Linked DNA regions of Macaca mulatta. The protein of the gene in region 1 purifies or fractionates together with the protein of each later gene. This does not show direct contact. Links are inferred from orthologs where the notes say so. Each region holds a gene or a part of one and is shown in the gene's direction. Other genes may lie near its edges.

Evidence for each region.
Region 2: the proteins of MAGEA10 (region 1) and QSER1 purify together in Homo sapiens (affinity purification with mass spectrometry; 3 studies listed by BioGRID and IntAct, counting the BioPlex papers as one, with this or other methods). This does not show direct contact. The link is inferred for Macaca mulatta from reciprocal best matches to the Homo sapiens genes MAGEA10 and QSER1.

The regions. Positions count from the first base shown.
Region 1 is NC_133426.1:158,383,424-158,386,981, reverse strand, and holds MAGEA10 (melanoma-associated antigen 10), read left to right. Parts: upstream 1-1,235; coding exon 1,236-2,348; 3' UTR 2,349-2,840; downstream 2,841-3,558. UniProt on the Homo sapiens protein: Not known, though may play a role in embryonal development and tumor transformation or aspects of tumor progression.
Region 2 is NC_133419.1:32,354,490-32,358,341, reverse strand, and holds the start of QSER1 (glutamine and serine-rich protein 1), read left to right. Parts: upstream 1-876; intron 877-1,563; coding exon of another isoform or gene 1,564-1,628; coding exon 1,629-1,725; intron 1,726-3,852. UniProt on the Homo sapiens protein: Plays an essential role in the protection and maintenance of transcriptional and developmental programs.

The DNA.
Region 1 (3,558 bases):
ATTTGAGGATATCCCCAGCCCATAACACAGATAGGGGCCCCACAGAAATCTGCCATGACCCTACTGTCACTCTGGAGAACCTAGTCAGGGCAGTCTGCTGAGGCACCCTGTCTTATACAAGGATCACTGGTCTCTGGGAGGGGGAGGTGTTGGTCTAAGGGAGCTGCACTCGGGTCAGCAGAGGGAGGGTCCCAGACCCTGCCAGGAGTCAAGGTGAGTACTGAGGGGACACCATTCTCCAAACGCACAGGATTCAGCCCCACCCTGCCCCTCCGTCAGCCACGGGAATTCATAGGGAACTGTGGGTAGATGGACTCCCCTCACTTCCTCTTTCCATGTCTCCTGGAGATAGGGCCTTGGTTTAAGGAAGTGGCCTCAGGTCCACAAAGGGAGGGTCCCAGGTCCTATCAGGCATCAAGATGAAGACCAAGCAGGCTCCTAACCCCAGGACACATGGACCCAGCTGAATATGGCCACCTTTTGCTGTCTTTTCTGGGAGGACCTCCGCAGTTGTGACCAGATGTGGGTCCCCTCATGTCTTCTATTTTGTATTAGGATGTAAACTTTTGATCTGAGAGTTTCTTAGACCAGCAAAGGGGCAGGGTCCAGGCTTCTCCAGGAGAAAGGTGAGAGCCCCTGTGTGAGCACAGAGGGGACTACCCACCCCAGAGTAGTGTGGAACTCACAGAGTCCAGCCCGCCCTCCTGACAACACTGGGAGGCTGGGGCTGTGCTTGCAGCCTGAACTCTGAGGGTCCCTCAGTTCCTCTTCCAGGAGCTCCAGAGACTGTGAGGTGAGGCCTTGGTCTAAGGCGGTGTTTTCAGGTCACAGAGCAGAGAGGGCCCAGACAGTGCCAGGAGTCAAGGTGAGGTGCATGCCCTGAATGTGTACCAAGGGCCCCACCTGCTCCAGGACAAAGTGGACCCCACTGCATCAACTCCAGCTACCCTACTGTCAGTCCTGGAGCCTTGGCCTCTGCTGGCTGCATCCTGAGGGAGCCATCTCTCACTTCCTTCCTCAGGTTATCAGGGGACAGGGAGACCAAGAGGTCAAGAGCTGTGGGACACCACAGAGCAGCACTGAAAGAGAAGACCTGTAAGTTGGCCTTTGTTAGAACCTCCAGAGTGTGGTTCTCAGCTGTGGCCACTTACACCCTCCCTCTCTCCCCAGGCCTGTGGGTCCCCATCGCTCAACTCCTGCCCACTCTCCCACCTGCTACCCTGATCAGAGTCATCATGCCTCGAGCTCCAAAGCGTCAGCGCTGCATGCCTGAAGAAGACCTTCAATCCCAAAGTGAGACACAGGGCCTCGAGGGTGCACAGGCTCCCCCAGCTGTGGAGGAGGATGCTTCATCATCCACTTCCACCAGCTCCTCTTTTCCATCCTCTTTTCCCTCCTCCTCCTCTTCCTCCTCCTCCTCCTCCTGCTATCCTCTAATACCAAGCACCCCAGAAGAGGTTTCTGCTGATGAAGGGACACCAAATCCTCCCCAGAGTGCTCAGATAGCCTGCTCCTCTCCCTCAGTCATTGCCTCCCTTCCATTAGACCAATCTGATGAGGGCTTCGGCAGCCAAAAGGAGGAGAGTCCAAGCACCCTACAGGCCCTGCCAGACAATGAGTCTTTACCCAGAAGTGAGATAGATGAAAAGGTGACTGATTTGGTGGAGTTCCTGCTCTCCAAGTATCAAACGAAGGAGCCGATCACAAAGGCAGAAATACTGGAGAGTGTCATAAAAAATTATGAAGAACACTTCCCCGTGGTGTTCAGTGAAGCCTCCGAGTGCATGCTGCTGGTCTTTGGCATTGATGTAAAGGAATTGGACCCCACTGGCCACTCCTTTGTCCTTGTCACCTCCCTGGGCCTCACCTATGATGGGATGCTGAGTGATGTCCAGAGCATGCCCAAGACTGGCATTCTCATACTTATCCTAAGCATAATCTTCATAGAGGGCTACTGCACCCCTGAGGAGGTCATCTGGGAAGCACTGAATATGATGGGACTGTATGATGGGATGGAGCACTTCATTTATGGGGAGCCCAGGAAGCTGCTCACCCAAGATTGGGTGCAGGAAAACTACCTGGAATACCGGCAGGTGCCTGGCAGTGATCCTGCACGGTATGAGTTCCTGTGGGGTCCAAGGGCCCATGCTGAAATTAGGAAGATGAGTCTCCTGAAATTTTTGGCCAAGGTAAATGGGAGTGATCCCAGATCCTTCCCACTGTGGTATGAGGAGGCTTTGAAAGATGAGGAAGAGAGAGCCCAGGCTAGAATTGCCACCACAGATGATACTACTGCCATGGCCAGTGCAAGTTCTAGTACTACAGGCAGCTTCTCCTACCCTGAATAAAGTAAGACAGATTCTTCACTGTGTTTTAAAAGGCACGTCAAATACCACATGATCTCACTCATATGTGGAATAAAAAAAAAAAAAGTTGATATCGTGGAAGTAGAGAGTAGAACAGTAGTTACCAGAGATTGGGGAGAGGAAGGAGAAGAGGGGCTTGGAAGCAGTTAGCCAACATGGAAAATTACATTTAAACAGGAGGAATAAATTCTAGTGTTCTGTTGTGCAGTAGGATGACTATAGTTAACATTAAGATATTGTATATTACAAAATAGCTAAAAGGAAGGCTTTTCAATATTGTCACCACAAAGAAGTGATAAACGCATGAGGTGATGGATACACTACCTGATTTGATCATTATACTACATATACATGAATCAGAACATCAAATTTTACCTCATAAATATCTACAATTGCATGTCAGTTTTTTGTTTTTGTTTTTTTTTAATTTACGAAAACAAATGAAAAGAGAAATCAATGAAGTATGTAGTGGAGGGCCAGGCTGAGGCTGAGGAAAATACAGTGCATAACGTCTTTGTCTTACTGTTCTCTTTGGATAACTTGAGAACTTCTTTTCTTTTCTTCTTGGTATTTCTTCTTCTTCCGCTTCCTCTTCCTCCTTCTCTTCTCTCTTCCCTTCTCTTCTCTTCTCTTCTCTTCTCTTCTCTTCTCTCTTCTCTCTCCTTCTCCTTCTTTTTTTTCTTTTTTTTTTTTTTAACAGAGTCTCACTCTATTGCCCCGGCAGGAGTGCCCGGGCAGTCTAAGCTCACTGCAACTTCCGCCTCCTGGGTCCTGGGTTCAAGCGATTCTCCTGCCTCAGTCTCCTGAGTAGCTGGGATTACAGGTGCGTGCCACCATACCTGGCTACTTTTTGTATTTTTTAGTAGAGATGAGGTTTCACCATGTTGGCCAGGCTGGTCTCGAACTCCTGACCTCAGGTAATTCGCCCGCCTCAGCCTCCCAAAATGCTGGGATAACAGGTGTAAGCCACTGCACCCAGCCTCTTCTTGGTATTTTAAAATGTTGTTACTTTTACTAGAGAGTTTATGAGCTTCAGAATCTAAGGTCACACATTTATTTCTGTTTATCCAGTTTAAGAAAGAGTTTTGCTATTCTGTAAAACAAATTGGGAACCCTTCGATCTTATTTGTAATCTGTAATAAAATAACATGGAACTAGAATAGTAATTTTCTTGGACATATAAAAAATAGTA
Region 2 (3,852 bases), on another chromosome or scaffold:
TACCTGATGATATCTCCCAAGTTATTTTCAAGTTGTTTAGCAAAAAAAAAGAAAAGTGTGTGTGTGTGTATACACAAAAATAAATGATGTTACAAAATCTTAATAGTTGTTGAATCTTAAGGGACAGGTATATGGGTGTTCATTGAAGTTTCGATTTTTTCTATGGGTTTAAAATACTCAAAATAAAAACATAATCTTTCCTTTCCAAGGGGAGGGGGTAAAAAAATCTTGTTTTGGACTACTCTGATAATGTTTGAGCTTGAAGTTTTCTCAGTGAGTTATTGGGAAATAGTATTAATTCTTTTTTTGAATTATCTGTTATTCCATAGAATACTATAATTGGGTTATGGAGGTTATTTCATCTGGTCCTTTTTTTATACAGATGAAATTAGTCCAACAATAATTGAGTCACTTATTTAAATTACACAGTAAGCCAGAAGTAGAGCCTATACAATGAATTCAGCTCTCTGTTGTCCAGGATATTGCTTTTTCTGCTGTACCACATTACCTCTCCCAGTAAAAAGACTCTTGTTTGAGGTAGAGTTGAATTAAAGAAAATACTGTATATTATTTTTCTCCTAATGCATCTTAAATATATTTTCTCCATTGTGATAGTATCGTCAGACTGTGTTTGATCCACTAATCTATAGGTCAGGAAGTTGGTCAAAGGTTTCTACTACTTTTATAGTTGCTCTTCTAGAAGTTTTTTTTATCAAATGGTTTGGACTGTATATTTTGTTCACTGATTTTTAATGTCCTCTAGTTTAAGCTATGAAGAAGGACATCCCTCACACTCTGAAACAGATCTCCTTCAGAGACAGAGTTTTGCAGCCTCTCATCAGCTTCCTGGATATGCTCCCACACCTCAACCTACTGGTAACAATTCTCTTGTGAAATATACTATGAGTCTGGGTACATTTAGTGAATAAGAAGGAAAACCAATTTTCATGTGTTGGGTTCTGAATGTGTAGGACATACTCATGCCATGGGAAATGAAATGAGAGTATAAGCTTGTTTTTTGTTTTTGTTTTTGACACTGCTCTGTTGGCCGGGCTGGAGTGCAATGGCGTGATCTTGGCTTACTGCAACCTCCACCTCCGGGGTTCAAGTGATTCTCCTACTTCAGCCTCCCGAGTAGCTGGGACTACAGGCGCCTGCCACCATGCCCGGCTAATTTTTGTACTTTTTAATAGAGATGGAGTTTCACCATATTGGCCAGGCTGGTCTCAAACTCCTGACCTTGTGATCCTTCCACCTCGGCCTCCAGAAGTGCTGGGATTACAGGTGTGAGCTGCCGCACCCGGCCAAAGCTTTGGTTTTTACCAACAGGGAATATTTATATAATTAATAAATTAAAAGATCTTTTTTCATGTATCTTTGGAGATTTTAAATTATAAATATGCTTGGTCAAATTGATATGTTTACTATCAAAATAAAACTATTTGGGGTTGTAGAATGTTTTGGCCTCAATTTTCAGAAATTTTAAAATAGAGTCAGGAATATAATTTTATACAAGTACATATTTTTTTTTTACTTTGGGATATATTTTATCTTCCAATGTAGGTCTTTCTGGAATATTTGATACTAGTGTGAACAGTGCCAGCAGTAACACTAAAGAGTCTTCAGTGATGAATTTTCTGTCTACTGCTGAATCCCGAACTGCTCAGGCTGCTGCTTCAGGAACTACTCTCTTACCACAGTTCAGGGCTCCATCCTGGCAGACAGGTGATTCTCTGTTTTTAGAATTTTTAAGTCCTATAAAAATGCTGATGAAAAATATATATTTGATGGCCTTGTCATTGTAGCTGGGAGTTTTGTTACAATATTGATTTTCCACTGAACTCTAAGACCTGGAATTTTTCAAAATTTTCAGGTGAATAAAATTCAAGAATTTATTACTGGCAGAAATTTCGTTTTAGCATTCGACAAAAACTAATAAGTTGACATTGAGGGGTAGATAATGATTAAAGAAGGTCTGATATAAGGTTTATATCTAGCAATTACTTGTCTACTTGAAACAAGCAAATATTAAAATTTATTTTAGTGACTTCAAAATGGATAGGTGGTATAGTAAAAAAATTCTTGGGACTCATTTCATTGTTAGTGTTATATAAAGTTATCCTTAATTGGATAGATTAAATCATTAATAAGAGCCATTGCAAGTTGATATTATGATGTGCCCATTTTCTAGCAATAATTACAAGGTCTATAATGTGCTTTTCTATTTCATTTTTCTTATTTTACTTTTCAACCGTTTCTCATCAAAAGTTATATTTCTGTTTTTTGTGGTATGACAGGAATTTTTTTTTGGAGTTTTTTTTTGAGTTTTGTTGTCTTAAAGAAGAAATGTTATAGTGTATTTGAGAATATGTTTTTAAGGGATAGCTATAGGAAATAGTATTTTAACATTCTCATGTAAATTCCACTAATAGAAGTTTCTCAGTATACCTTAGTGACATTTTTTTTCCTGCTTCTAAGGAGATAATTAATGATTTGGTGAAATAAAATATTTTAAAACACAGCTTTATTTTTACTGCCTGAAATAATTTTATATTTCATGTATTTTCCTATTAGTATATTAGTTAGATTTTCCTATCTGTATATTAGTGCTGAAACTTGAGAGTTGAAGAAATTTTAAAACAAAAGAAAATCTGTTAATATTTCTGTGAAGTGTTTTTACTCTTGTGTAGTTTGTTTTTAAAGTTTTTTTGGCTTTTTAGGTTTCAATTTTGTTTTGTTTTGTTTTTTGAGACACAGTCTCACTCTGTCGTCCAGGCTGGGGTGCAGTGGCACAATCTTGGCTCACTGCAACCTCTGCGTCCTGGGTTCAAGTGATTCTTGTGCCTCAGCTGCCCGAGTAGCTGGGATTACAGGCATGCACCACCATGCCCAGCTAATTTTTATGTTTTTAGTAGAGATGGGGTTTCACCACATTGGCCAGGCTGGTCTCAAACTCCTGACCTCACGTGATCTGCCTGCCTCGGCCTCCCAAAAGCGCCCGGCCTAGGATTCAATTTTTAACAATTCATTTTTACAATTATTTGTTAAATTGCATTGAACAATTCATTTGTATCTGATCCTATAATTGAATTGCATTCAGAAGGGCTTGGACTCTCAGGTTAGTAGGTAGAAGTTTTTTTATTTTTATTTTTTCAGAGCATGACTGATATTACTATCATATGGACATTTAAAAGAAATTTAATGGATTTTTGAGCACATTAAACTGGACCTAAACTAATGTACTCTAAATGGGAAATAAAAATGAAATTGAGACAAAAACATACACAACATATAAATATACCATTAGTTGGAAGAAGGTATTAGTGTGTTAGCATAAGGAACATCTTCTTTTGACATGTTTGAGATTATAATATGAGCATTAGATGCATTTCAAAATAGCTTCTGTGGGCATACTGTGGTGAATTTGCTAGCCTCTGTGACTCCCTTCTACATTAATCTAATAAATCATGCAAGTAAGTCAAGTAAGAAAGATCTTTTATCACTCTACTGGATAGAAGGATTTCAAGAAATAGAAGCTCCTTACCACCACTTTAAGCCCCAAATATTCTCTGTCCTTTCTAACTAGCCTCTTCCTCATTCTAGGCATAACTGTGATAGTGTCAGTCACCATGTAATTACAATTGGTTCTTTAAATATGATTTGATATATGTGACATAAAACACTTACCTCATAATAACCATTAAAACTGAATCCATTATTTGTAACTTTACATTTACTTAAATGTCAGTTCTTTATTGCTGTTTACTTATTATGTTTTAACGCCCCCCACCCCCACCCCAGCACACACAAAAGAACAATAGGAGTTCTCTGCTAAAGAGCAGTAGAGTCAGT